Linked DNA regions of Neodiprion lecontei. The protein of the gene in region 2 purifies or fractionates together with the protein of the main gene of each other region. This does not show direct contact. Links are inferred from orthologs where the notes say so. Each region holds a gene or a part of one and is shown on either strand. Other genes may lie near its edges. The genes, in order: ATP-dependent RNA helicase DDX42, RNA-binding protein cabeza, interleukin enhancer-binding factor 2 and RNA polymerase-associated protein CTR9 homolog.

What was found.
Region 1: the proteins of RNA-binding protein cabeza (region 2) and ATP-dependent RNA helicase DDX42 purify together in Homo sapiens (affinity purification with mass spectrometry; 3 studies listed by BioGRID and IntAct, with this or other methods). This does not show direct contact. The link is inferred for Neodiprion lecontei from reciprocal best matches to the Homo sapiens genes FUS and DDX42.
Region 3: the proteins of RNA-binding protein cabeza (region 2) and interleukin enhancer-binding factor 2 purify together in Homo sapiens (affinity purification with mass spectrometry; 3 studies listed by BioGRID and IntAct, with this or other methods). This does not show direct contact. The link is inferred for Neodiprion lecontei from reciprocal best matches to the Homo sapiens genes FUS and ILF2.
Region 4: the proteins of RNA-binding protein cabeza (region 2) and RNA polymerase-associated protein CTR9 homolog purify together in Homo sapiens (affinity purification with mass spectrometry; 3 studies listed by BioGRID and IntAct, with this or other methods). This does not show direct contact. The link is inferred for Neodiprion lecontei from reciprocal best matches to the Homo sapiens genes FUS and CTR9.

What each region holds. Positions count from the first base shown.
Region 1 is NC_060261.1:42,757,922-42,765,225, forward strand, and holds ATP-dependent RNA helicase DDX42, read right to left. Parts: upstream 5,114-7,304; 5' UTR 4,946-5,113; intron 4,736-4,945; 5' UTR 4,727-4,735; coding exon 4,512-4,726; intron 4,411-4,511; coding exon 4,138-4,410; intron 4,018-4,137; coding exon 3,477-4,017; intron 3,385-3,476; coding exon 3,156-3,384; intron 3,059-3,155; coding exon 2,784-3,058; intron 2,693-2,783; coding exon 2,542-2,692; intron 2,363-2,541; coding exon 2,022-2,362; intron 1,956-2,021; coding exon 1,827-1,955; intron 1,747-1,826; coding exon 1,540-1,746; 3' UTR 918-1,539; downstream 1-917. UniProt on the Homo sapiens protein: ATP-dependent RNA helicase that binds to partially double-stranded RNAs (dsRNAs) in order to unwind RNA secondary structures. Unwinding is promoted in the presence of single-strand binding proteins.
Region 2 is NC_060263.1:2,144,530-2,153,110, reverse strand, and holds the start of RNA-binding protein cabeza, read left to right. Parts: upstream 1-2,149; 5' UTR 2,150-2,435; coding exon 2,436-2,448; intron 2,449-3,261; coding exon 3,262-3,642; intron 3,643-3,796; coding exon 3,797-3,911; intron 3,912-5,651; coding exon 5,652-5,683; intron 5,684-7,639; coding exon 7,640-7,773; intron 7,774-7,896; coding exon 7,897-8,258; intron 8,259-8,581. Other genes in the region: mediator of RNA polymerase II transcription subunit 19, read left to right, coding at 61-342. UniProt on the Homo sapiens protein: DNA/RNA-binding protein that plays a role in various cellular processes such as transcription regulation, RNA splicing, RNA transport, DNA repair and damage response. Binds to ssRNA containing the consensus sequence 5'-AGGUAA-3'.
Region 3 is NC_060265.1:26,830,909-26,836,238, forward strand, and holds interleukin enhancer-binding factor 2, read left to right. Parts: upstream 1-2,180; 5' UTR 2,181-2,298; intron 2,299-2,404; 5' UTR 2,405-2,426; coding exon 2,427-2,428; intron 2,429-2,539; exon of another isoform or gene 2,540-2,556; intron 2,557-2,839; coding exon 2,840-3,146; intron 3,147-3,262; coding exon 3,263-3,569; intron 3,570-3,741; coding exon 3,742-3,999; intron 4,000-4,075; coding exon 4,076-4,362; 3' UTR 4,363-4,677; downstream 4,678-5,330. Other genes in the region: proteasome subunit alpha type-2, read right to left, coding at 95-425, 1,267-1,599, 2,014-2,054. UniProt on the Homo sapiens protein: Chromatin-interacting protein that forms a stable heterodimer with interleukin enhancer-binding factor 3/ILF3 and plays a role in several biological processes including transcription, innate immunity or cell growth.
Region 4 is NC_060266.1:25,828,743-25,837,433, reverse strand, and holds RNA polymerase-associated protein CTR9 homolog, read right to left. Parts: upstream 6,534-8,691; 5' UTR 6,460-6,533; coding exon 6,421-6,459; intron 6,162-6,420; coding exon 6,063-6,161; intron 5,965-6,062; coding exon 5,725-5,964; intron 5,648-5,724; coding exon 5,075-5,647; intron 4,990-5,074; coding exon 4,870-4,989; intron 4,784-4,869; coding exon 4,473-4,783; intron 4,400-4,472; coding exon 3,874-4,399; intron 3,794-3,873; coding exon 3,599-3,793; intron 3,530-3,598; coding exon 3,413-3,529; intron 3,332-3,412; coding exon 3,021-3,331; intron 2,879-3,020; coding exon 2,538-2,878; intron 2,431-2,537; coding exon 2,244-2,430; intron 2,162-2,243; coding exon 1,601-2,161; intron 1,450-1,600; coding exon 1,353-1,449; 3' UTR 651-1,352; downstream 1-650. Other genes in the region: solute carrier family 35 member F2-like, read right to left, coding at 7,613-7,648, 7,723-7,921, 8,103-8,230, 8,486-8,691. UniProt on the Homo sapiens protein: Component of the PAF1 complex (PAF1C) which has multiple functions during transcription by RNA polymerase II and is implicated in regulation of development and maintenance of embryonic stem cell pluripotency.

The DNA.
Region 1 (7,304 bases), on a different chromosome or scaffold from region 2:
GCGAGACACACCTCGCAGTTCAGGTTTCCATAGTTATAAGCCTTCGGACCACATAGACTGAAATGAAAAAAAAAAAAACTCCAACACCGACTACAGAGATGTACCTATAAGTGTATGCTTAACAAGGGCACGTCCCGAGAATGCCGCTGCGGTTGCTCACGCCGATCTTCCGACGACCTCAGCACTTTGTACCAATTAGCATCGGCTAAACCGAGCTTTGTGTTTACTTGTATGGCACGATCAATCGTTATACCAGAGTTTAAATTACGCAAGGCTCGATTCCTGAGCCCGTTTCAATACCCATTTGAAGTGAAAACGACGATTTGCGATCGGAGAGAGAGAAAAAAAAATGTTACTAAACAGGTTCTTTTTTTCCAATCGTTCAAAGTGAATCATATCCATTTTGGCACAAATTACTCAACTGCGCGCACAGTACGAGCGAATTACTCAAAGGTCGTTCTTCAACGTGGAGAGATATTTATCGAACAAGTATTTAGCGCAAAGCAGCATTGATTAGCTGCAAACTTGGTTAACAATATGAAAAAAGAAATTTATTAGAAATATTTGACCGAGGAAATTCGAACATGGGTATAAAGTAGCGCGTTTCTTTCATTTTTCATTTTCATTTCTTGGGTATACGAAACGGAATACATAATATCATATTCTCTGCATACAGTATGTATTGTAGATCGATAAAGCAAATATTCATTACGTTTTCGTAACGATTATACATATATTAATTTTTTTATAATTTTTTGCGAGGAGTTAACCGCTGATGACCTTATTCTTTCTATACATTGCCACAAAAGTTCACAGGAGATGTTGAGATAAAGATTAGAACAAGTATAGTTAGACAGTTGTTGCTCCGTAATTGGACAGTAGTTGACTCCTCGGTTAGACATTTTTTTTTTTTATGATTGCAGTTTTATATTAAAAATAGAGATAAATCTAAACGACTCATTATTGTATCGGAAATAATATGATGTACTAGATAACTAGTAATCTGCGATTAGCACTATATGTTACAATACAAGCAGTATAAATTTGACCATTGAGAAGTACATCTTGCCTAATTCTATTGTTTCTCTGGCAAATACATAAATATTGCGGATCACAGCGGAGCCCTAAATCATCTTATAGCGGATCGCATTTGTATCTTGAGTGTAAATTGATCATGCTAGGAGTTTTGGGTGAATGCGAAACAAGCTAAAAGACCATTTACTGGATGCTGTGAACCCTTTCCTATAAATCTGATCGTTGTTGGAAATAGAAAATTATGTAACTCGTGCAGAGGACAAACTAATGTAAAAGATGTATGATCGTTGAATCAACTTTATCTTTCGTATATCAATAAATATGATTAAACAGGAACCTAAGGATCAAATTGGCACACGACTCGCACAGAATTGGTAAAATGAGGATTTATTTTCATTATAATAATATAAAACAAAACAGGCTTTGCAGTCGGTGTATTTGCGATGATAGAATAATCGTAGATTTGGGCTCACTGATATGGCTTGGCAGCAATTTTAATCCGACTCACTCCCATCGACTCTTTCTGACCCTCCGCCTCTCTCCCGTTGCCGCAGAGTTAGAATTCTGATATTCCTGGCCCTCCGACTGCTCGCTGAGACCGGCGGCTGACGTAGGAGGTGAAGAAGAGGGTAGCATTGGCGGAGGCGGGGGCATCACGACAGATGCTGGCTGAATCGTTTGCTCCCACGTGTGATCCGAAGACGCACGGAACTATAACAAAAAACAAACAAATAATTAAATAATTTTCGAACGGTTCGGCAGGTGGCAGCGATTACAATATAAGATCATACCTGAGTGTTGTACTGGCTTTTGAAGGCAGCTTTCATCGCCGAGAGTCGATCGCTTCCCGGTCCATGTCTCTCCAATTTTTTGACTACTTCGCTGATGTCCTTCGATGCCGGATTCGAGGATCCGCCACTCTGTAGAATTGAAGATGAATTAACGGTGTACAAACGTGTACTTACAATTACGTGTTTGCAACAAACCTGTCCACTGTTTGTTCCATCGGACACTCGACCTCTGAACCCGAGTCCTGCACCACCGACGTTCAAGCTTTTGCCTTTTCCACCTTTAAATCTCGATTTTCGGAACCAGGCACTTTGCAAGGCCAGATCGAGCAGACCTTTCGGTACATCTTGATTCGCTCCCTCTAAATTTCTCACTAAATGACCAGCGAATTCTTTATCTTTGTCAGTGACCAGAGTGAACGCTGTTCCCTTTTCTCCTGCTCGACCTGTCCTTCCTATCCTGTGTGTGTGCGTGTCTATGTCGCGCGCCACATCGTAATTCAGTACCGTTTTTATGTGAGGGATATCCAAGCCACGAGCTGAAGTTAAGAGTATTGCGATAAATATACCATATAGAAAAACTTCAGACCACACGTCTGCTTTGTTCTCATAAAAGGTATCTCGACGTAAAAAATCAGGGGGAATTGCAAAATCAGTTGAGAGATTTCTTTGAATAGTAAATTTCAATATCGTTATTTCTGTCACAGATGTAGCTTACCTGCGACATCGGTAGCGACAAGTATACTTATTTCTTGTTTCTTGAAAGCAGTGATAACTTTGTTTCGTTCGATCTGGTCCATATCACCGTGCAACAGGAGAACATCGAATTCCTTCAATTTTAGATTGTTCGAGACCTCCTCAGCGTTTAGCTAAGATCAAAAATTGAAAAACGCTCAAAGATCGTAGCCTGTGTTTATTTGCCGTAACTGATTCTCGTTGGTTTATTATAATATTCCGCACCTTTTTAGTTACAAATATGAGTAGACTACCAGCGCTGAGAAATTCAACAATGTTATGCAGTAGCCAAGACCATTTGGCAGCAGGATTACTGTTGAACATGACAACGTGTTGCGTCACGTCTGTGTTAGCTTCTCCTACATCTCCTTGAACAATCCTTATAGGATCCGTGAGCACGTCACGCGCCAGTTTTTCAACCCTCTTCTTAAAAGTCGCACTGAACAGTAGCGTTTGTCTGTCTGGTCTGACATGGTTGCAAATCGACCTTACCTGTGGTTCTGAACATTGTATGTGATAAAAATGAGTTTGTTTGTACAGAACAGTAATGACTTTTGATGTTTCAATGTAAAGGATATCGCCTGGCTGCTCACTCACCAAAACCCATGTCAAACATTCTGTCAGCTTCGTCAAGCACGAGAAACGAAACTCTGGCCAAATTGGTAGCCTTCATCTTGACCAAATCGATCATTCGACCAGGAGTAGCAACGACTATTTCCGCACCTCCTTCCAAGGCTTTGCTTTGCTCCCATTTACTGCCACCTCCGTAGCAACAGCATACTTGTATGTTATATACCTTGCCAAATTTCTTAGCCTCTTGGTATATCTGCAAGAAGATAATTTTCCAGGTAATTATTAAAGTTTATAATTTGTCATTTTCTACAACTGACGGTAAATTATCGTTGCTACAAATTTTACCTGCTGTGATAATTCTCTGGTTGGCGCTAATATCAGACCGATTGGCCCATCGCCTGGCTTTAGTTCTTGCTGATCCATAATGTGCACCAACATCGGCCAAATAAACGCCGCTGTTTTTCCACTACCAGTTTTAGCAATTCCTATCAAATCCCGGCCACTCAGAGCAGCAGGTATTGCTTGTGCCTGAATGGGAGTCGGCTGAGTATACTCGTTTTTTCTAATCGACTTTATCAAAGCATCGTCGAATCCGAAATGTGCAAAGCTGGTGACTGGATTGGGCGCAGAAGGACCGGTCACTTTGATTCCCAAGGTCTGCCGTAAGTCCTCGACTTGCTGCTTGTTTAAATTTGCAATCTCCTCGTGTACATTATAGAAATTCTTTTCAAATGGTTCGTAGTTTATTTCACTGTGATCAATCGGAGGCAAGGGATCAATGTCCTTCTTTTTTGGTGGTGGTATTGGGTTCCCATCTTCGTCATACTCAATCTCCTGATCCGAGTCATCTTGCTGAAGCCCTGCTGTAGGGTTTTCTTCCATATATCTGAAAAACGAAATGCAGTCATTTTTATCACACCACTTTGAACTTTCTTGTGATTGTTTACAATATGGAATTTTTAGCGAATGGAAGACGTCGTATGCTTTTTTATAAATAAAATATTACTTGTAGTAACTCTCCTCGTCGTCTTCATCATCGATGTCAGTTCTGATTCCCTTGGATTTGTCTTCCATTCTCATCTCTTCAGCCAGCTCAGCTTCGAATGTATTCTTTTTAACTTCAGCGTCGATTCCAGCCATAAACGCGTCGAGTGGATCCTCGTCACTGTCACTTTCCTGTTTTCGATTGTCTTTCTTCATAAGTTCGTAGGTCGGAGAACCCGGCGCAGGGATATATTCCAATGAGGAAGTCGGCGCATCGTCATCATCCTCAAAATATCTGATTATGTAAATTGATTTTATAATCGACTTACTTTTTAAACTAAATCCTATCTGGGAAACTTCAATAATAATAGTAACTACCAACTGAACAACACTTACTCTTCCTCAGTTTTGCTTCGCTTTTTAGGTATCCCCCAGTTTGCAGATAGAGCGTTCTCGGTTATAGAATTCATTGTATGATAGCCTTGTTTGCTGAGAGTTGAGTTGTTCGGGGGTGGCGGAATGTTGACGCCGCTTCTCTTGGTTCCAGCCATCTGAAATCCAGCGAAGCCAAAGCCCTTTGGCTTGTTACCACCTCCCCGGTGGTAACTCATTTTTCAGTGCTATCATAAAATCGTTGTAAATACAAAGTCAACTTCAACTTGGTGTACGGTAAATATTTCAGGAAAGGATACCAAATAGCAAAACTGTATACTCAGCCCGGTTAGGTTAAGTACAAGGTTTACTCTACGAATGAAGCAAGAATGTAATTTCCCGCTATTCGACTAAGGGTGCCCATATAATTAATTGAAATTCTGTGGTACTTTACTCACATTAATCTGGCGATATTCGAATAAAATTACGATCACTGTTACATTTAACAATGGTAAGGTGGTCGATGGCACCGGACACTGGACGACCGAATTAACCTCTTTGCGAACGAGTGAATCTCGATGAATCTACAGACCGCCTGCAGCAGCACTGGTATAGAATAAAAATGTCCGAAATCACGCTACGAGCAGATAACAAAGTTCTCTTTCTCTCTTTCTAATAACGCATGCGCAATACGCCATCGCAGCTGACTATATTTAGACTTGGGGGCAATAGCAGTTTCACGTATTATCAACCAAATAACTAACCACATCGGTAAATGAAGTTCTTCATAACCAACAACTATCTATATTTTACAAAGGCGAGAAAATACGTAGATAAAAATGGGAAAGTAAAAACTGCACGCGAGTATGCGTACATGTATAAGTACGACTTGAAATAGCGATTGAAATGAAACTGTAGTAAGCGCGAGGTAATACTTTGATTTGAATCGTTACATCGCTACTTTGTCGGAACACGTAGTTATAATCTGTTATTCCGCATCGAAGGAAATTGAAATGAATATAGTTACACTTTGCACTGTAGTACATAACAAGAAGATAACCCGAGAATTTCTTTGCACGGATTTATAAAAGTTTGACTATTGCATTAAACGTATCGCCTGCCTCTTTTGGAAAGCAATCCTTGGGGATCACCCTTACCATATAAAAAGATCTTTTTTGGAATATTTAGTGTTACAAGTACGCGTGATAGAATTTTATTATTGTTAATTGAAAAGTGTGTCAACCCAAAAAGTACAGATACGTGGCTTTGGAATTTGGTATAGATGTCAAGAATAAGTAAACGATTGGTTGCAAAATCATCCGAAAACTTGGAGTCTTCTGTACCCCATGATCCATTGCTTATCTTTAAGAAAAATTATCAACGTTAGATATTACCACTGATATGTGGGAAACGTGTTTTTGTTTGCGGAATTATACGAAAAATATGAAAAACATCGAAAGCCTGCACTCTAAATATTACCCAAACCTCGATTCCAACTGATGCAATTTAAAATTCGAAAAATCTCCAAAGACTCCAGGAGTTTAGATGTGTAAATTCGTGATCTTGGAAACGGGTGAAGCAACACAGTTAACAGCAAATCGATCGTGTTATTCAACTCGATGCAATCAGTTTCAGAATTTTAGAATTTTTTTTCCCTTGACGTCATCGATCTATATAGACGAAAATCAGTTAGCCGAATTCCTCAGTCTGGTAACAACCGCGCAGTAGAGAGGACGTATGAGAATCGCGCTCCGCAGATTTCGAGTTCCGGGTTCTCTACCTCCTGGATCCTGCGCTCCGGGTCCGCTTCCTGATGCAACGCGAGTTCCAGGACAAGCGCTCCGTGGTCCCTGCGCTCCAGGTCCACTACCTGGTGAAACTCGACTTCCAGGACAACCGCTCCGTAGTTTCTGCGCTCAAGGTCCATTACCTGGTGAAACTCGACTTCAGGAACAAGCGCTCCGTACTTCCTGCGCTCCAGGTCCGCTACCTGGTGAAACTCGACTTCCAAGACAAGCGCTCCGTGGTTCTAGTGGTCCAGGTCCTTGACCTGGTAACGTTCGACCTTCAGGACTAATTTTCCGTAGATTTGGCTGTTGAGATCCTCCACCTGATGTTACTCGACTTCAGGACTAATTTTCCGTAGTTCTATCTGTCCAGGTCCTCCACCTGATGGATCTTGACATCCAGGAGAAGCGCTCCGTAGTTCTGGCTGTCCCGGTCCTTGACCTGGTAACGTTCGACCTTCAGGACTAATTTTCCGTAATTCTGGTTAAACCTGTCATGTTCACAATAAATTATTTCAATTCATTTTTCGTGCAAGCCCAAATTCATTAGCTATCAATGCGCTAGTAAAATTCCAATAATTTTTCATAATTTTCTCATAAACTTCTGGGTAAAATGTGACCTTAAAAAAATTACATTAATCCTTACACAATATTTTTGATGAGATCTAATACTTGTAATATTTATTAGTATTCGAGGTATAACCCGAGGTGGTCAGCGGTGGTCGTTGGTGGTGGTTGGAGGTAGTCGAGCTGGACGAGGAGAACAAGGTGGACAAGGAGGATGAGGATTTGTGCTCGGTGAGTTTAACATTTTTATAATATTTGATGAAGAAGGATCAGTATCAGGAGTAGGAATAGGAGTAGGATCAGAAGGAGGAGTAGGAGTAAGATCAGGAATAGAATCAGGAGTAGGAGTAGGAGTATGAGTAGGATCAGAAGTGGGATCGGGAGTAGAAGTAGGAGTAGGAATAGGATCAGGAGTAGGATTAGCAGTAGGATCAGGAGTAGGAGTAGGAGTAGGATCAGAGAA
Region 2 (8,581 bases):
AAAGAAACTCATTTTATTGTTGCCCCAAAACTGTCTGATATCCGTTTCTTAATGTTACAGCTCCCAGAGCAGTATCGTTACGTAAATCAGGCACCGCAGCGAAAGCACAAGAATAAGCACAAAAAGCATAAACATAAGCCTGGCGAAACTCTGAGCGGTCAAGAGGCTACTACCACTGATATAGGGGGACCTGATCCCCATGAAAAGAAGCATAAGAAACAAAGGAAGCATGACGAGGAGAAAGAGAGAAAGAAACGGAAGAAAGAGAAAAAACGAAAAAAACAAAAACACAGCCCTGAACATCCCGGAGGTCTCACACCCTCGCAGCATTCCAATACGTGATCTCCATTCTTTCCATTTTTATTCATCTAATCGATTATACATACCCGTGTGGTTCGTACACAAAGTGAAACGAGACGACGAGTTTAATTCATTTATTCAGAAATCATAGAACTGCCCATGTGCCTTGCTCAATTCAACGCAACGTAAGAAATTTAAGCTTTTTCTTAACTAAAGAATATCCCATGTTATTTTTAAACTGCAGCCAATACATGTTAATGTATTGTCGTGCATGCATCAGTTACTGTATAGGCGAAATAAAACCTCATGGCAATTACAGTAATTTTAGATAGGATGTTTATTGGTGAACTCGGCCTGTCTATCACTCTGTTTACTCACACCATTTTAGTCCTGTAATCGGCCAAAGTGTATCCAGGAATTCACGCAGTTCTGTGAAACCTAATTTCATCGTCTCAGTTTCGATAAAAGGCTGTGTGTCCAGTAGTATAGTCTAATGTCTATATAGATTGTTTTGACTATTGAATACTAAACAAAAGAAAAACTCGGTTATGAAAAAAGATTGTTTGTATTCATGACAATTTGTCAATGCCACCAGTTGTTGGAATACCGATACTAGGAATTGAAAATCTATGTGGAACCGTTTCGAATATGTTGATTGGCCACAAGAGGTACTTTGCTAATCATCGATATTTGAGCGAAGTTTCTTGTGCAAACAATTGTTACTTACTACTCTTATAATTTGATATTAAACAAGAGAAAAGTCAATCAGATGAATGATGTGTTCACAAAACAACTAGCTAATTATAAAAGAATGAATTGATTAAGAATATTTATGCCAAGTAGTAAAATAAACGCAAAATTTATTATTCACCAAATTTCAAACGGAAACCAATATTTCATTTAATGTATGGTATAACTAATTTGTAGATTGATCGAAACATGAATTATCCTATGATATTTGTACATATTACCTACAATATAACAAATCCTGTAACATTTAAACCGAATATTTGAATAATTTAACATCTAACAATAAGAAGCAATACCAAAAAATTTAAAGAAGCCTACTGAAAATGAGACTTTTGAAATTTATTTTATCAATATCGCAGGCAAGTATATCAAAATATGTCTGCACTCACTTGCAGTTAGTCAACGCTTGGAAAACCAACGGAATCCCAAGTGTGTGATCAAACTGGAGCAAAATCAATGAAAATCATTAAAAGCTCACCGTTTTAATCCGAAAACTTGAAAGAGAAATACCAAATGCGCAAGATTATCGTGCCGTTGATTATTTCATTTTTTGTACATTCGATCTATTTTTAATTTATTTAACACATTATTGCAACAATTGTATTTTATCATATGTGTTTTATCGTTCCGCGCGTATTTGGTATTGATACCTAATTATCTTTCAAATAAAGTAAGGATAGTTTTCGTACGAAAAGCGTTTTACCCCGAGAACCCTCTCCGCCTGATGCAAGGCTACATAGTCCAGAACTGGAGAGTTAGCGGAAGAGTGAGAGCGAAAGGTATATGTGTCCTTTCGCTCTAGACTCGATTGGCCGATACGTTACCACTCGACCAATCAAATGCAGAGTGAGAGAGACGGAGTAACCCTAATATATATAAATCTTGCTCTTTCATCACTTTGGCTCCATTTTTCGCCAGTTCAATGGATGGGTAGAGCATGGAGACTAGAGTAGTAAGTATGGAGCGTGTACGTTTACGATACAATAAGTGTAACTGTGTGACTAACACATTCAATTTCATCAATCAACGCAGTATGAATCAGCGCCACGTCGATTATTTTATGTACCCTCATTTGCATCCAGAGTTTGACCATGTTTTGAACGCACCGCCATTAGAGAATGCGGTTCTTCCATAAGTACGCTCCATAGCTCTAAGTTGAGAATTACGAGTGACTGTGGTGGTAGACGTCGGCCATCGCCGTGGGTATAACTCGCGTAACTCGTAGGTATAACTTCACGATATCGCCGGTAGTCCCCAAGTTGCCGAGCCGTTCCCGCCATTACGTGTTCTCACACCCAGACGTTGCGTGTACTTTTGCGTGTGCGGTGTGCCTTGAGCAATTATAGCGTCGCTATTCGCATTTGTGAAGGACGCCACTGGGCACGATGACCGATAATCGTAAGTATTATATATTAGTTGTATAGCCGAACTTGTTTGTAGATAATATTATAGACCGTCCCTTACCGGATCGTCGTAATAATTGTGCATACGAGTTAGTAATGGATCAGCGTCTTGTCGGGCGTTTTTACTAACAGTCGTCCATGCTATTTTTCGTCGTCTTGACTTTGCCACGCCACTAATTTTATCGTATTAAACCTGATGATACCTAATTGTAGACGGTAATACTAAGTTTCTTTGCTTTCGCTCGATATCATGATTTTTCTTTCCTACCCAAGGCACGTAGTTAAGTCATAACATTAGATTTTCTTTTCGAAAATGTGATTTTGCTGCCTGATCAATAATCAACTACGAATCACGCGTTTCGTGCTTACGAGTTGCTGATTGTAACATGGAGTCTTATCATTCGTGATGTTGACATGATTTATCATAAATTTCATACTTTCCAAAAACACACCTTAGTGTGGCTTCAACTAAGTTGAAATGGGATCGTGTATCTCAGTTCATTAAGCTTCTCTTAATTTACGAAATTTTATTACTATCACTGTTTGTACAATACGTAAATATGAACTCCATGTTCAAGAATTTAACTGTCCTTCCATGCTACCATGGCCACCATTCGGATAAAACTCTGTTATTTCTCATAAGTCACGTAATGGATATTCAATGAATCGCATTAAATCTTACTTTTGTCAAACAAACAGTTGGATTGTATTTCATAAGTTCACTGCTTCGTCATTACGATTCTATGTGGGAATAAGAAGGGACTTGAAAATTTGTAGTTGAATTTCGATTTGTTATTATCTTTGGCAGAATACAGCGCCTACCAGCAGCAGGGTTATGGCCAGTATACCCAACCTCCACCTTCTGGAGGGCAAGATACATCATATCCTCCACCTTCAGGCGGCAGTACCAACTACAGCCAGTATAGTCAACCACCGCCGAGTAGCAACACTTATGGAAATTATAGCAACTATAACCAAACTAGCGGAACTGATTATACTCAAGCCCCAAGCCAAGGAGGCTACAGTCAAAACAGCTATGGGGGTGGAAATTCCGGATCTGGTGGTGGCAGTAATTATAGCTCTGGCTATAACCAGGGAGGAGGAGGTGGAGGAGGAGGAGGTACTGGAGTAAGCGGAGGAGGTAGCAGTGGTTACAATAGAGGTGGAAGTGGAGGCGGTTACGGAGGAGGTGAGAAACTGAATTTGACTTATAGAACCCAAAACCTCATTGATGATTTCGGTCCAAATAGACTTTGTTGGATACGAGTTGTGTTTATTATTAAATTCAGTCTCGTGTATGCAGCTTGGAATCTGAATATATTATTGCGAAAAATGATGTACAGGTCAAGGAGGAGGCAGTGGAGGTGGAAGTGGAGGTGGAGGTGGCGGAGGTAGATTTGGTGGAGATCGCGGTGGATATGGGGACCGCTCAAGCAGTGGTGGAGGGGGAGGATACAAGTAAGTTTCTGAATTAAAATTGTTTCGTTATCAAGGGAAGAAATATTTGAAAAGAGCTGATTGTAAGCCACCCTGAAAGTAATTTTACGCATATATCTACATATATATACGATATATACACACATTCATCAAAGGAAAATGAAAACAGAAGAAATTAAGAATATATGGAAAAAATAAAAAAAATTGTCGAAACTGTATGGTAAAGGTAATACAATTGAAAGGTTCTATTACACGACTATTAATAGTACTGTTAGCAGTATTACTATGTACAGTAACGTTGATTGTAACGAACAATGAATGCTTTATATCCATTGGTCTTATGCCCAATTGGGCGTTAATGTGTTTGAAGTGTGTCTACAGGTTTAACACACAGGTTTAACTGGTATAAAGGTAACTGCAGGTTGTATATGACAAATGACGAAATGAGGTCGATTATGTATGTTTCGTAAAAGTATCCCGGCATTCATGTTCACTATATAAATGCCACTGTGTTTCTGCATCATCGTGAAACGGTTGTAAAGGTTTTTTTTAAGAAATGTGAAAATATGCAGCAGGCGCGTGTCATTGACGTAAATGACACAATGCAGCTATTTAGAACTACCAAACTTGACCTGACACTTTTTTAAAGGGCATCTGTAAGAGATTACATCCACTATATGTATTATCAGGGTCTCTGGTAAACTCAATTTTTCAATTTTAACAACGAGTTACTGTGGCGTTTGTAAATGTGCGTGTGATATTTTCTTCTTTTATAAAAACGTGACTGAACAAATCTAACGCTTTTTCTCCTAGTCCCGTGTACAAGACATTAGCTTGCATTACACAAGTGTGTAATGAAGTATAATCCAACGAAAAACAATAACTAAACATTTGGTATGAAAAACTTTGAAATCTTGTTCGAAATTGTATTAGCCTGGGATGCCAGAGAGCCTTATCATATGTAGTCGATATTCGTGCAAAAGATATATATTATTTTAAGCATACAACACGCGAATTTTTATGTACCGTAAATTTCAATATACTTCAATCCATTTTGAATGGCTCGATAAGAGCTATTTCACTTTTTGTTTGGTGAATCTTTGCAGATGTATCTATTTTCAGCATAAATAATAATTTACTTTTGTGCATAATTGCATTCCCAATGTAATCTAGTAGTAGGTAACGAAAACAAAGATATTCGTCAATTTCAACACTACAAGAATTATCGTACCTGCCGATTTACAAAATAAATAGTGTCACGCGAGAAAGCAAGTTCAATCTTGTCCGTGTATTTGGGGCATGGTTAAAAAATGTGCTGATTAATTGTATACGATGCTTAGGGACAGATTGAGGTTTACTTCAAACTGACTATTTTTAACTACAAAGCAATGTTTATTTTATGTAATCTCTTACTATGCTTAACTATATCAACGTATTGTGACGTTCGATTTTTGAGTTCAAAAATAGTTGGTGTACCTTGAATTTATTCATCTTACATTGCTATTTATCACACGAAAGTATATGTTTACATATTTCCTAAAAAGTGACAAGAAAAAAACTGCCAAACCCAAACTGACCGACATGACTTGTTTGTGTATTGTGATAGTTGAAGAAATAATCTAGACTTCAAGGACATTTAGACAGTAGGTGCATCAAGAAGAAAGAGCAGTGGCGACCAGCATTTGAATCGCCATGCAACAATCGATCGATCAGTCTCTGTCCATGAGTCGACTCATTGGTATATCTGCTTCTGTGTTTTAGCAGTGGCGGTGGCCGTGGTGGTTATAACAAAGGTAAATGCACCAGGCTGCCTGTACTAGCCTGGTGCTATTCACGCATTCACTCTAATTACTTAAAACTTAAATACTTGGTTACTTTGTAAAATATGAAAGGGCTGCCATGCAACAGTTTCAGACTCCGGATACAATGATATGCGTACGTTTAATTATGGAGGGTATTTAGAGATATTAAGTAGCTGTGGATACGTTGAGAAACAAGGAAGTTCAAAACTATCAGTACTAATTTGTACTGTCTCTTTTTTTGTTTTCTATGTCATCGGAATCACCATTCAACTTATACCGATAATAATTATAATCTGCTGACATCTGTCATGACAACCTATCCATATTGCAATGCGTTAAAGATAATATGCGATGCAATTTCTCTCATCATTTGAGGTGTTCATAAATTATTATTGTGATACGTTTATGGTTCGGTTGATTCAATGCGCTAAAATTTGAATCAATTATCAATTATCCATGTGCGTGTGGCTAGGGATGAATGAAAAATGAACCAGAACAGCCTCCAATTTGAGTTGCGAAGTGCTTTGTTATAAGCAGTTCTTTAAATCATAAGTATAACTGTGCTAAGTACTAATCAGCATACGTATTCACTTTATCTTACTCCTTATTGAGTGAAACTTTAATTTTTTTTTTGTTTTTTGTTCCAATTCTTCCAAATAATGGTTTATTATAATTAATTTTAATCCAGAATATTTTCCTCATGGTAAATCAGACAATAATACAATGCAAAAGTCTGAACAACGAGCGTTTACTTGATAATTGTATGTCAACTGGTGAAGTCATTAGCCATAACAAACTAGCGATTGATAATATGACTATGATGCCTCGCTAAAATGAATTGATTGATTTATTCACCGAATTCAGGGATGTTAAAAGGGTTGAAATAATGTTGCAGCCCTTTTGTATGAAGATCTGCAACCTTGTGTTAATATTTGTACTTTATTGAGTATTGTCATTCATGCTAGATTATTGCGTGATTGTAAATGAAATTTTGACGTCGTATTTAGAGGCGTGAATTAAAAAAAATTTTGATATCAGCTTGTAAAGTGTGGTGAATTACGTTTGTCTTTAATATCTATGGTATAGGTATTTGAAGCAAAGCTTCTCAGGTCTTCATTTACAATGTGTAAGAAGCAGTTTGCGGTTAATAATGTATTGGTATTGAATTCATATATTACCAATGCAGTGTTCTTTGGAGTAATTTTAAATAATATACGTCATTTTAAAATACCTCGATGTATCAGGTGATAAACAAAATATGCTTGTGCATTTTATGAGATGCAAGATCTTCACCTGAATATAATTTACAAATATACTTAAGGAGGTGGACATGATTTTTTCTATTTATCAATTGTAGGGTCAGTTCTTTGGATAAGATATTTAAAAACTGGCGCTAAATTACCAATTCGTAATGGGTTGTCGACCACTAATTAGATTAGCTAATAACTCAAATATGTATAAATTATATGGTATGCTCAAATTATTAGATGGGAACAAGTATCAACTGTTGAAACAACATGGATGTGTTAGGTAATAAGTAAGAGTAATGTGAGAATAGAAATGGAAAATATTGGGGTTTGACATTGTGTACAAATTGAAAAATAGCATTTTCAAATTTACAAGTGTATTTTCCCCCGTGACAACTGTTTGCTCTCGTAAGATCAATAGTACTACACAACAGTGCTACATGACAGATACTACTCATTATAAATAAATCAAAGCTGGTTTAGTTTTCTTCCTATTTTTTCATCGGGCAAACTGTTTTCAATGTCATATTAAGGCAATAGACAGTGAAACAGCATTTTATTCGTACAAGTTTCATCCTAGGCTTGCAGTTTGAATTAGCTTACTAGAACTAGGGATTGGAATAGGGGTAGTTGATGCGTTGACAATTCAGTTAGGGTTTTTGGGTTTGAAGATCAGTGACTAATATTGGATGTGTTGCAGGGGGCTATGGTGATCGCGGCAGTGGCGGCGAAGGGATGGTTGTTCAAGAAGATACAATATTTGTTTCTGGGATGGATCCTACCGTGACGGAAGACGAAATATGCGAACACTTTGGTGCGATCGGAATTATCAAGGTACGTTTAGAATTCGCACCTAATTTGATAATGTAGGTAATCTATTTTATCATTCGCTTGAAACATTAGATATATAATACCATTATTGATTAATCTTTGAATTTGTAATTGACCTTTTTGTAGAACGATAAACGAACTGGGAAGCCAAAGATATGGATGTATAAAGACAAAAATACAGGTAAACCAAAGGGTGAAGCAACGGTGACATACGATGATCAGAACGCGGCTCGCTCAGCAATAGATTGGTTTGATGGCAAAGAGTTCAAGGGTTTTACCATAAAGGTGCAAATCGCACAGCACAAAAGTAATTGGCAAGGTGGTCGTGGAGGAGGTGGCGGAGGTATGGGCGGCGGTGGAGGTCGAGGAGGAGGTCGAGGCCGTGGAGGTGGTTTTGGTAGCCGCGGAGGAGGAGGTGATAGGGACGACCATTCGCGTGGAGGTGGTGATGATCGACGTGATGGTGGCGGCCGGGGAGGAGATTGGAGGTATGCCAATTGTGAAAAAAAGAAAAATCAAAAAACGAATACAGGGAATTCCTGGGAATTACTTGCAGTTCTCGGAAATTTCGTAAAATATAGTTCTTGATGCGATTTCTGTATTGTTCGACTATCACTAATAATTGAAACTAGCCGTTGATTTTTTTATTGCTCGCTTGAATACTAAATTTCTTAAATTTTTGTCTTACTTGCCGCACTCGCTCTATTTTCAATATGTATTTGTAGAGATAATAATGATAGGATTAATAACAATGCGAATACGTTTGCTCAAGATCTAAACTTCGTATTTACCAGTGCTTATGGCCTTCTGT
Region 3 (5,330 bases), on a different chromosome or scaffold from region 2:
TTTTTTATTCGCGAGCACATTCGTATTGCCGACTCAATTAATGGATATTACAATACAAACAAAAAAAAAAAGTAAACGTAGATAGAATAAAAAATTAGGGGATGTTCGCAAGGTAGTCCTTGACATTGGACGGATGGAGTCTCCTGAATCCATTGGCGTCACAAATGCCGACTTCAATATTGTCCGCGGTCATTTGCCCCTCAAATCCTTCCTTCAAAGTCAGAATAGCGGTATGAACGGCGTCGTCGAGCTCCAGATCTTCGCTGTATCTCTTCTCCAGGAATGTTTTACCGTTGATGTGATTCTTTCCCATCGCGGTTGCCTTCCAGGCGTAATAAGCACCCGACGGATCGCACTGGAACAGGTACGGCTTGTCGTTGTCCCAGCCGCAGATCAGCAGAGAAACACCGAACGGACGTACACCTCTGCACAGACATTATTTAATCAGTTCCAAAATGTGACTATGCATGTGTTACGTACTCCGCACTATTTCACAGTTCTATTTCACTCATACATCGACTTTCATCCCTCCTACCTAATAGTCGCTCCATTTTGCCAAACAATACAAGCCTTGCACACCCTGTACACACCCGATTACCGCTTCTTATTCCCGGAACCTTGATCCTACACACCCCGCTTTTTGCACACACCCATACTTTGTTTTATTCATTTCTCGATGCAATCCTGGTCCGTCTTTCATACGATATTCTGACTTTACCTTTCGAATCGGACACATGTTCGATAAATCATAAGGCATATTCCAACATCAGCACACCAGACTCGTTCATTTAAATCCCTCACCTAAACTTTCCGGTTGTTCTTAATCATAAAAGTGAAGCGGAACCTCGTCTATTCTGTGCTACTCGAAAATAGATAACGCGTAAATCATTACACGTGGTTCCTTTTAAATCTTTGTGAAGCAATTTTCTTCGACTTGTCTTATGCCCTTCGATTGACAAATGTCAAACAATGAATCTATTATGGAAATTTCCAACGAGAACCATTTTACGACAAACTCTTTCAGATTTCAACAATTCTTTCCATAAATATACTTTTCTCACACATCTGCTTGCTAAAACCTTGTATCTAAATTTGGTAATGTCTACTTTTCATGGTTTATAACGTTGATACCAAACATCAAGTCAAAAACAGCATATAAAATTCATTCAAAACCGTTTAAATTGCATGAGGTCATAGTAAATATCAGCTGGAAATTATAGTCAAGTTTCGGCTAATTATATGAAATCATGAAAACTCTGATCTTACCCTGACTGCGTGTACTCCTGCATGAGCATCGCTACTCGTTGAACGAGTTGCGCAGTTGGAATTGGTTCCTGGTACACTAGCAAGTACTGCTGGGCGATTTTGCGAGCTTGCTTCACAAGTAGACGATAGTCAGGCCCCATTCCACTATATATCATCCCAATATGCTTGGTAACCATTTCAACCTTGTTAACACTGTGTTCGTCATAGAGTATCGATTTGTGCTTGTTTTCAGTGGCAAGAACAACTCCGTTGGATGCCTTGATGCCAACCGAAGGCGCCCCAGCTGATACTGCAGCCAATGCATACTCGATCTGCACCAGCTTGCCCGACGGGCTGTAAGTATAAAATAAAAATGTAAAATTTTGAAATGATGGTGAAGAATAATGAGGTTTTATAGTCGACGCAATCAAATTTGAGCCTTAAACGATGTAGAGTAACAATGACAGGACAAAAAGTGGAGATTCTTTGATCAAAACATGGGATGCAATAAAGCTCACTCCAAGTTTCCATGGAGATTGAGACAGAAATTTGAAACAAGTTTGATATTGCTTAGGTGAGAATAAAGTTTCAGACTCGTTTGACACGAAACTTTTTCGATTCTTGACGTGGTTTTTAGGTTAGGACCGAGTTGACGGACTTTCAAACTGCTGGCTAAGATAAAATTTTGAATATTTTTCCAGAAACGGTTAGACTGATTGATTGAAGGTCGCAAGAATACAGGAAATACGTTAAATTCCCTGTTCTTACCTGAACGTAGTCAGCGAAAAACTGTACCGCTCCGAAGCCATGATTACCTTGCAACAATACACTAACCTGAAGCTCGAACGGCTGAAACTGGAGAGTTTCGACTTTCAAGTTAACGATCTCGAACGTAGAATCCAAGATGGCGACACGAATCGCGGCACACTCGCGCTCTCGCGCCTCTCGCGGTTGACTTCAGATGAAACGCCATCAGGATCGTTAAACCGGCTAAGCACGGCTAAGCACACGCTGAGGACTAAGGTCGGCTATTGCTCAAATAAATTATCCAGGGTAAGTTATTATTGAATAAATACCGCGATAAATACTCGATTAGAAGAATAAATAACAGCTCATCTCACTCCGAGTAACGAAATACCGGAATACGATTTGTTTTCAGGGTGATCCTGGATCTTCCAGCAATGTAAGTCTGCTATGCTTGGTTAGGTTCTTCGTTCAATGTTCATTCGCACCTTAGAGCATATACTACTGGAGGTAGCTTTGCGTGTACAGAAAGTCTAGCCGAGGAGTGAGTGAGAGAGAAAACGAGAGGTATATTTTCGTTATAATTGGTTTCTCTCTCGCTCAACACGCGATTGGCCAATACGTAGTCCAAACATTACCCTGATTAGAATCGTGCGAGCTCTGAACGATTGTGAAATTAAACCTTAAAAGAGCACATCAGCACATTTCTTTTATTTCATCTATCTCTCGTATTGCCGTCAAGCATCAATCGAGCCAGAAATCACGTCCCACCAATTTTTAATATCTTGTGAACTATGCATCGACTCCAGAAATGATTAAACGATGCATTCGATTTGTTCTGACATTGCAGGCTTAATATGGTTCGAGGTGCTCGCGGCGGCATGATAAGAGGTGGTCGAGGAGGAATGGGGCGTGGAATGGGATTTCCTAGGAAACAGTTCCTGCCCAGACATCCCTTTGATTACACCCTTTGCGAGGCTGCGTTTCCTCGTGTCAAGGCAGCTGCGGATGAGGCTGACTTTACTACGGCACTTCTGAAGAAAAATTCAGATATGTGTCCGACAGCGAAAGAGCAGAATTCCATCTTGAACCTCGTTACGAAGCTACAAGGAGTTCTGGATAATCTAATCGTTGCACCTGGAACCTTCGAAGCTTGTGTGGGTATACAGCAAATTTAAAATGGCTGTAAATACAGTTAAAGCTATGTTTTTCTTTTTTTTTTCGAGTGAAACGAAAATGAGAAGGAACATTGATGGATTCGTTTCATTTACAGCAACTCGAGGAAGTCAGACAAGTGGGGAGCTTCAAAAAAGGGACAATGATCAAGGGTCACAATGTAGCAGACATCGTTGTTATCCTCAAAACATTACCTACAAAAACAGCGGTTGAAGCGCTGGGCACGAAAGTAAACACAGACTTGAAGGCGGGCAATCCTAAAGAGGCGTTTAAGCTGACTCAAACGGAACGTGGATTTGATCTTTCAACTAATGAGGCCACTGTTCGTGTCCTCATCACTACTTTGCATCAAAACTTACGTAAATTGGAATCTGAGCAGCATCTTGACGTTAAAATCTGCCAAGGTATTTACCGACATTGTGTTGCACCCGGATCGTTTGACTTTTTGATAAAATTTCACAAGAAAAAATTCAGATAGTTACCAAAGCTTAAAAACCTATTCAAGTTTTATTTTCAATTCGCAAAATAGTATCAACCTTGTTTCAACATGTTTCAATTTTTTTTTTTTTTTTACAGGGCACCTAGCAGCTATCAGACACTCTCGATGGTTCGAAGAAAATGCCCATCACTCGAGTATCAAAGTACTGATCAGATTGCTGAGAGACTTGAGGACCAGATTCGAGGGTTTCGAACCCCTGTCACCATGGATGCTAGATCTTCTGGCACATAATGCAATCATGAATAATCCCAGCAGACAAGCACTGCCGATAAATCAAGCCTACAAGCGAGTGCTCCAGCTCCTCGCTTCAGGGTTATTTTTGCCTGGGTCAGCCGGTGAGTTGTTTCTAATCGACAAAATGTTGACCGCAACGACTGAAAGTTAAATTTTAACTGATTATTTTATCTCAAGGAATTTCCGATCCCTGCGAGGGTGGAAACATCCGTGTACACACCGCTATGACGTTGGAACAACAGGACCAAGTGTGTCTAACGGCACAAACATTGCTACGAGTTTTGGCGCACGGTGGTTACAGGCCATTGCTCGAAGGCGGTAATAAATTAGCGGTAGAAATGAGTGTATGGGCTGGCGGTGTGGTTGCCAGTCCTTTGGACAAGGCATACGAACCTCCAACGGAGCAGGAACAGCAGGAAGAAATGGAAGAAGGAAATGAAGAAATGGTGACTCAAGACACATAAGAAATATTTTAATGAAATTAACAAACTCAGCTTGTTCCAGATTGTTATAAGGCGTGTTTGTATCTCTGTCTGTACATTTGATACAATTTCACGTGAGATTTGGAACGACTCTATACATGGTATAACGCTGGATTTATTGAAAATCATATAATTACGAATTTGTACACGGATCGGTATCAATAGAGCGGGGATGGGTAAAGAGAAATCGTCCATTTTCAGACTCGATAATGAATTTTTTCAATGTATATTCTTTCATTTTTGTCGGCAACCCGTGACGTACACATTACATGTATGTCTATGTTTGTCGTTGCCGATCGATCGTAAAAAAAATTGATCCTGCTTAAAACATAGATGATGATTCATTATTTTTCAGTTTAAATCACCAAATATCTTATTTTGACAAACATTTGATATACAATGCGATTAATATTGTAATTACTTATATACGGATACATTCATAAATGGCTAGCTTAATATTAATATAATTCCTATGAATAATAATATTATTATTATTATATTAGTAGAACGTCTCGTGTGCGTGTATGTGCAGTCTTCGTATGAATTTTGAAGTACGTTTTCTTACTCGTCAACGATAAATGATGAGTAATTGTATCACGGTAATAGGTCAAATCAACAACGTCACTTCGAGAATGCGACGAAGTTCTTTTGATCAATAAATATTCGGTCTTTATACATACGAGCCCGCCGCGTAAGTGGTCTAACTAACTAAACCTCTATTTTATTCTATATACACAAAAAGAATCGGCGAGTGAAATTCAACCATTGAAAAGTGCAGCCTCAAGCTACAAAACAGTTTGACCAACTTTCTTGGAAAATCGTTAGACTAAATTTCTGAGGAAGTTGACGATCATCATTGCTTTGAATTGGAGACTCGCCTAAGATTCAATGTACTGGTCTAAAAAACACTTTAAAATAAAATAAGTGATATTTCATCTTTCCAGATACGA
Region 4 (8,691 bases), on a different chromosome or scaffold from region 2:
GATTTAATTGCAGTCACCGCTGATCCAAGATATGCTTCAGAAAGGACTGTAACCGCCTCGTAAATGCTGGACAACTACGTGTAACGGAGGAAGTCACAAGATGCAACAGCGCAGCTGTAGCGGTTAATCGAGAGCTGACTGGTGAGTTTTGCATGCAATATAAATTCTTCGACAGATCTGCCAGTTCGCACAATGGGTTTGCTCTGGGAGATAAATCGCATTGTCTATCGTTGTTCCTTTTTCATGGCGTGGCGGTAGAATTTATACATGTGTTTTCTAGCTCAGATTTGATTAGACTCATCTGTACCTGCGGCGATAATTCAAAGTTATACGAATATTCGAATTAATACTTGCCATTTGCTGAATTTGATGCAGCATTGTAATAGCTATTTATTATATTGTGAACGTCAAATATGTACTCGTTCCAAAGCGGTAAGCATAGATACGCGACAAGAAACCCGCTGCTTTACTAGGCTTGTAACAACGATGAGCTGTAACAATTCATTGATAGTAATTATTCATCTTTTAAGCTGCAAACTTCTCTGTGGTCCCATTCAAGTTTCAATTTTCGTCAAAACTTTTCACTAAATTTGTTTTTTGGATAGTAAGGTCTGTGATAAAAAAGGTTGTAAAAATAATAGGCAATCAAATGAATTCTTGTGTGTGATATTTTATTGATGGTTTCAAGGCGGGTAATTTTTTTTTCCACTGATACACAGAGTTTACAATAATTTCAATCCTGTATAGGTAAAATGTAACAGTTGTTAGATTTCTTTGTTGTTTCAACTCCTAAATTATCACAAATTTGTCGTTCTTAACGCTTCGATGATATTAAAACTCACATCATCGATGCTAATTCAATACGTTCTACTTACATAAATATATTTCTTTGCTTGCAAATTTGGCAACTCTGTTTTTCAGTAGCTAGCACGAAGGGTAACTCATTATCGTTAGTGTGAATGGTTCATTCCTTATTCGACTCACATACAATTACTCCTAGTTCCAATAGGCTTAGTATCAATTGAATAGTTTTGTCACTTTCTCGTTAATGTCATTCTCGCTACCTTCGAAATAGACACCATAGGTTTTGATCCTAAACCATTGGTTTTTATAATATTGCAAGAGTATTTTCAGTTTTTTTGTGCTAGCATGGTCTAGTTTATACAATTTGAAACTGAAGAGTACCCTTCGAATACCGATAAGACGTTGGCCAACTTGTGAATTGAGAATTAGTGAAAAAAATTATTTTTCTGATAATTAGGTTCAGGAAAAACTATAATAAAATTGGATATTGTATAGGTAGTTAAGGTAGTAATTATTAAATTAATGACAGTGAAATTGTCAGTTTTCAATTACTCACTACCGCTCTGTCCACCTCTTTGCGGACTCGAATGGCGAGAACCATCTTCGCTGCCAGATATCGATTTCCGAGACACAGGACTTGCGGATCTGTGAATATATTTCTCAATCAATAATAATAAGCAAGGGTTGTAAATCATCCAAGTCGGACTGGTGTAGAAATGAAGCATGAAAAGCATCAAAAATTCGAAGTATATTCGAAAATTGGAGTGGTAATCAAATATATAATTTTCTATCGTACCTTGCTGATCCGCTCGCACTTCTACTCCTGGAGCCACTTTTTGATCTCGATCTCGATCTTGATCCGGACCGTGACCTACTCCTACTCTTGGACTTGCTTTGGCCTGAGCCTGATCTTGATCGTGATCGTGACCTTGATCGCGATCTTGACCTTGATCCTGATTTCGATCTGGATCGTGATCTTGAACCAGATTTTGATCTTGATCTCGATCGTGAGCCGGATCCGGATCTGGATCTGGACCTAGAGTGACTTTTCCTCGAGCCACTGCTTCCTCTAGATCTGGATCGCGATCTCGAACCACTTTTTCTTGATCCGCTGTTAGATCTGGAGCGTGACCGTGATTGATTTCGCGACCTCGAGGCACTTTTGCGAGATGTAGATCTGGACCTAGATCCACTCCTGGATCGTGAACCGCTTCTTGAACGCGATCGGGATCCACTCTTTGAACGGCTGCTAGACTTTGACCTAGAACGAGATCTGGAACGTGAGGCACGAGAACCTTCGGACTCCGATGCGATTCTACGCCTTCCTCGCCCTGCGTTTTCTTCCCCGCTTTCGTTTCTGAAATATTAGCGAATTAAAATTAGACAATGGATCATCACAGGCATCTACAGTGAAATGAAAATACAGAATGATCACTCACCCGCTTGCCATGTTAGGCCTTTCATTATCGCTCTCAGATTCACTTGTCGAAATAGTTTCTTTAGAAACAATTCGCATTTTTTGTTTACTTGATAAATCAGCGGTGCCACTCTTGCGAAATCCTTTACCTTTGTTACTTCCTCCCGCTTTTCTGCCACGTTTAGTTTTCGGTCGATCACTTCCCGAACCTGTAGTTCATAAATGGGACCGATTTGTTAATGATTACAAAACATTCAAAACAGGATTTAAGCAGCCAATGAAAATATCAATTTATATTACTGATGTTCAAACTTACCTCCACTTTCTCCGCTGTTAGCATGCCTTTTCCTTCTTCCCTTTCCTGACGATTTCCGTTCCTTTCTCTCACCGCTGCTCTTTCTCTTGCGTTTTTTTTCTCTGGGAGCTGAATCTTCGGTACGTTCATTTCTATCTGAGCCACTATCGCTTAGATATTGTTCAGACCTTACTTTCCTACCCTTCTTTGTAGGCTTTTCTGATGGCATGTCACCAAATAGTAAAACATTTTTCGTTTTCTCCACATACTCTTGTCGTTTTTGTAACATGGCTTCTGATTTCTGGCGACGCATATCTTCCACCTTTTTCTGTTCTTCCGTCTGGCGTATTCTGAAGGCTTGTCTGTAAAAAAAAAAAAAAAAAAAAAAAAAATGAAAATGAAAATGAAACATTGAAAACAAATCGATTCACAGCATATTTCCATGTAGAAATTTTCGGCGCTTATTTATTTGAAAATTAACAGGAATGCTTATCCAATTGTTACCTTTCTTCCTCCTGCTTTTTTCGGAGGATTTTTTCCTCCTCATCCAGCCTTCGTGCTCGAGCAACGTGGTATTGCGCTTGCGACAGCAAATCCTGACATTTTCTTGCCTCAATTTCAGCAAGTTGATCCATTTTCTCACCCTGCATACCCAGGAATTGAAAATATTTGTGGGATAATCCTAATTCATGTACAGCTTGCAATACAATAACCAACGTCGATTTTTCATCCTTCAAAATTTGCGTCGCCAATCTTTGTAGGACCAGAGCAATATTGTACAACAGTAATGTGTCTTGGGGAGCTACTCTGCGAGCCTGGAATTTCGAGTAAATATCAGACGCGTCAGCGACGGAAATGAATAGAAAGAGTCATGTGTGACATTGCTGTTCCTATACCTTTAACAAAGTCATTTTAGCTTCCCTCAGTTTTCCAGCTTTGAAATAAGCTCTGCCCAAGTATTGAAGAACCTCTACGTGATGATACTTGTAGAATTTACGCAAGCAGTTTTCATACTGAAATAAAAATTAGTTTCAAAGCATGGTGAATAGATAAAACGATATTCGTTAATTCGTAATACCAACCATCTGAATAGCACTGACGAATTGTTTTTGCTCCACGTAAATGTGAGCAATGTTCAACCAGACATCGCAAAATTCAGCTGTTGCTTCTCTGACTTGGGCAAATATATCTCTGGCCTCGTTGACGCAACCTTTGTGAGCAAGTACAGCTCCTATACCGTTTGCGGCCCAAATATTTCTTGGATCATTTCTTAATACCTGAGAAATTCGATCATATCTTTTGAGTATAGCTTCGATCCACAAGGCTTTTCACGGTCATTAAAAGGGGTGATACTCACTTGCTTGAACATGGCCAAGGCTCTGTCCTGGTGCCGTTTTTCTCTGTCCTTGTCTTTCCCGCTTTGATGAAGAGTCTGCAGCCAAATATTACCCAAGGCAATAAGCGAGTAGGCATCTGTGCTGGTCGTTGGACTTTTCAGGATCCGTTCAAATTTTTTTTGTCCCGGTCCCCACTCCATTTTAGCCAAATGTAAGTTTCCCAAGAGTGACCAGGCGTCCGGATGCTCGTTATTTATCCTCAAGGCATCTTTGAACCAATCCGAAGCTTCGTAAATTTGACCCTTATCTCTGGCCATGCAGCCTAACCGCAAGTAGCAGTCCACATAATTCGGGTGTTCTTTTAAAATGTCTTTGTACAGTTTTTCTGCCCGGTCAAATACGCACAATGCTTCGTTTAGGCGAGCCAAATTATACGTCGTAGTGACTGCAATGGAATTGTAATAAACAGGATCTTGTTCAGCGTCAGTTTTCGACCTGGCCAAAGACTCCTCCAGGTTGTTTCTTGCCTCTTCTAAATTTCCAAGTCTAGTAAAACAGAAATTCTTTACTTCTGCAAACTCAGTTACAAAGGAGAATATACAATTCAGCTTCGACCTACCTGTAATGAAGAGCACCGACGTTATTAAGGATTTCAGGTGGAATATCAGCCTGAACTTTGTCTTTAAGAATTCTGGTGGCTGTAGCATAAGCATTCAATGCAGCCGTTAGATCGCTTTGCTCCAAAATCTGAGCCAATTCGATCCACGCTTCGACATCGTCGGGAAATTGCTCCGTTACTTTTCTCAGATGACTTTTGGCTATGTCTCTTTTCGACTGGGAGCTTGAGTTGGCGTACAAAGAGCCAAGAATTTTCATTGTTTCGTAATTGCCGGACTGGGCTTTCAGAACTTTTTCAAAACATTGCGCTGCCTGGAGGGAAATGAATTTGATAGAACACACGAACAAGTTCTTAGGTATACAAGTAACCTCTTGTCGGAACAATTGCGTTGTCTTACATTCTCGGCATCTCCACGATAGACGTACATTTGACCAAGGCCAAAATGAGGCAGGACGAAAACCGGGGGAGCGAATTGAGTCGCCTGATAATAGTATTGAAAGGCTTGGTCGTAATCTCCCTGAAAATATTGCGTTTAACGTGTAGTAAAGCGGCAGCACCGTTCAGAAAAGACTAAAACCGTTACCGCCGAGGTAGGTATTTACCTGGACGTGAAAGGCTCTGGCGAGTTGATAGCAGCTCTCAGCACGCATAGCCTCGTTTTCGGTATTATGAAAAGCGTGCAGAGCCAAATGTTGTACTTTGTTGTAATCTTTCTTGAAGAAGAAATGATTCGCCAAATGGTTCAGAACCATCGGATTTGTCGAGTCTATCGTGTAGGCCTTGGACAACATTTGAACACCCGTTCTGATGCTGTCCGGCTGCTGCTGATTCAATTTAAGTACCGACAGGCCGACCAGAGCTCCGACGCATTGCGCGTCCAACTGCAAAGCTCTCTCAAACGCCATTTTGGCTTTGTCCTGGTTACCCAGTTTCATAAAACAATGTCCCATTCCGAGTCTGACCGCCGCCGGGCAATTGGGATTCGTCCTGAGTGCCTTTTTGTAAAATGCCAAAGCTCCGCGATAGTCTTTCTTGTTAAAAGCTATACACGCCTTCCCCAAGAGCGACGGAATGTTGTTAGGCGATTGGTTCAGAACGAAGTTAAACTGTGCATCTGCCTGTTCCATTTTGTCCCCTTCGAGGAGGCAGAAATAGGCTCGACCGAGGAGATGATTCTGTAGGAATAATAAAACAAAATTAATCCTTGCCTGCTTCTGTCACGTTTCTACCTCAAGGTGGATCCAAAACTTACCTGGTCGTACATGATAATTTTGTCCGCCGTAGTGTAGAGCAACGTTGCCTTGGTGAAGAGATCTCTCTTCTTGTCCTTGTTCTTCTCGCGATTCGCCTCCTGGACGTAGTACGCGGCCAGCATGTCCAGTGCTCGCATCTGGTCTTTTTCATAATCCCTGTAGTCGATGTTTGCGTCGATCCTCGACGACTCCAGAATCTTAATAAAATCCTCGATCTTCTGTTGTTTGTAATACTCGAGCTGTGCGTAAAGAAATATCAGTCGGTTAATATTTATACGTCTAATTGGTAAACGGTGACACGCCTAATGTAGGGCCTAAATCAAAGCAGAACTCTCACCGCCAGGTTGACCCAGATGCTGAGCTGGGCATGTTCCTGCCGCAAAATACCGAGAACCTCATCGCCGTCGGGTAATTGATCCAGGTACAATTCGATTACCTAGTTGCGGAAAGAGGAGTTATTCATCCGTATTGCGAATTGGGAAGCGTGGATTTGTAAGTTGCCTCGATAGTAAATGATACACAACGAGTGCGTCGGTTTTCTCAGGAGAAGCCCCGCTCGTCTAGGTTATGTTGGGTGTGTTTGACACGCAGTCGGCTCGTTTACGAACAAGATACGCGGGCCTCGAACTTGGTTGATGAGAAATCGAAACCAGCTTAATTGGTCGTAAAATAAGGTAGATATTATGAAAATTTACCTCGTCCGTATCACGAAGAGGTATCTCGATGCTCGCCATCGCTTCGGCCTTTAGCGCTCGCCACGGTCTCGCTACGATCGCTACTGAAGCGAATTGAATAGTGAGACGAGCGAGACATCGTTGCCGTGAATGAAATCGGCGCTTGCGCGAAACGTGACACGGTGTACTTTTCAATCGCGTTATTACTTTCCGCACGTTTTCTTTTCAAAAAGAATTTATCGTATACACCGTGAATTTCTTTCTGTTGGAATTTATTTATTTAAAACGGTATTTCGAGTCTTGCAGTTGGATTATACAAAATTTACAAGATATACCACACTATTCAGGATGTGTATAATCAGTTTTTGCTGGTTTCATTTTTTTTTTTTTTTTTCTACAGTCCTTGAAGTATTATATTTATTTCAAATTGAATCCACATTAATTTAAACACAAATGATACTTTCCTATTTATATAATCATACGTTATAATAGGGTTACATAAATTACAGTTTGAAGATAACCATTTTTTGTTTTTTTTTCGTATGTACACAAATTTCAACACAATTGTTAATCAAAGAATTACAACTTATTAATTACTGCAAGACGTGAAATTGAATCTTGAAAATCACGATAAATAATATTAATAATCGTAACGAATGTAGATAAAAAAAATTTCCTGTGCCGTGTATGGATTTCATTCGTTTTGTTTTCTTGTGCGTCTTGTTGTGAAATCGAATTTAAAATGATCATTGACATTTGGCACATTTTTTTTACTACTTTAATTACGAAGTTTTGTTATATTTTGGTTAAAAACGTCTTTTTCCGTTTCGTTATAGCTTTGCATTTTTCATTTTATATTTCTATAAAGTGGCATTAACGTTTCAATTATCTAAATGCTACTCTAAACGTATGCAGTATTGTATCGTAATAATTAAATATTTATATCAATTACGGATCGATCATACATCGACAACATTATACCTAATATAATTAGCGCCTGAATTTCTTATTATCATTGTATAATCATTATTGTAAATACAAATGTTAAGTCTGTTGCTTTCGGGTGATGATTGTGATGTTTTTATTCTTTGCGTCGACGTGTATATGATAATTAATGTGTGCGCGTGAAGTTTTGCGTTTGAATAATGGATTTCGAATTAACTATACGCACAGTACGGTGGTAAAATTGTCTCATCATGTCAATGGATAATTATTAGCATGCCGCACCACCACCGTTCGTCGTTACCGTCTGAAACAAAATATTACGCAGTCATACGAATGAAATTTAAGGGAATATTCTTTTTCCAAAACCAGTTCCCGCACCTTTAGATTCACCTGACTGCCATAAAACGAAGTAAAGGCCGTGTCCGAGCTGACGCTCAAAGGAAGACTCGTGGCGTCGATGATGGCTTCTCGTTCGCTGCTCAGCGTCGAGGCGCGTAAATCGAGGGTACCGCTGACAGCCGACATTCCTGAACTCGTTGCCATTTCAACTTCACCAACGTCGGGATGTGACATGTGTCTTAAAATAATGTCGCTTTAATCGATCGTTGTAAAATATTAGCCAAGTAAACACGGAGGGGTGGACGCGCGCCACAGATTCCATGCTTTAAACACACCTGCTAAATCGACAAGCTTGAAAATCGACGTCAACTATAGGTTTAAAGCATAAAATCCGTATAGCGAATTTTACTAGCTCGTACCTGTAGTCCGGGGCCGGCTGCTCGACTTGCTGTCTTCTTGAACTTGACGAAATCGGTGTCCGTTGAATCGCGTAAATATATATGCCGCTCATCGTCAAGGTGTAAGAAACGAAGTAGAGCGTATGAAACTGGAAAAGTAACGGTGTGAGTACGAATCGACCGAAAGCACGTTTGATAAGGGACCGTTCAACTATCAGCCGACGTATTTTTTTGCAAATTTTTGTATTTCCTACCAAGTGATAACTTGTTTTGCCCAGCCACTGTTTTTCATCGTTAGCTAACGCGTTTTCAAAAGTTTATTGGCCAGCGTTATTATTTGTGTTAGCGTTGGCTGATACTTGAACGGCCCCTAAGATACCGTGATAAAAAAATAAGAAAAACACCTTGTACTGGTTCGTCAACATCCCGAATAGAATGTTGAAGAAATCCGCAGTCAGGAGTGCGAGCTGAAGCGCAGTTGCTCCTGATTCGAAAAGGATCACAGGTACAAGAGAGTAAAACACGAACTGAGTGATGCAGTAGAGGATGAGGAACGTTATTACAGGAGCGTTGTCCCAGCAGAATGATTCCAGTTGTAGCCGCTCGAGAA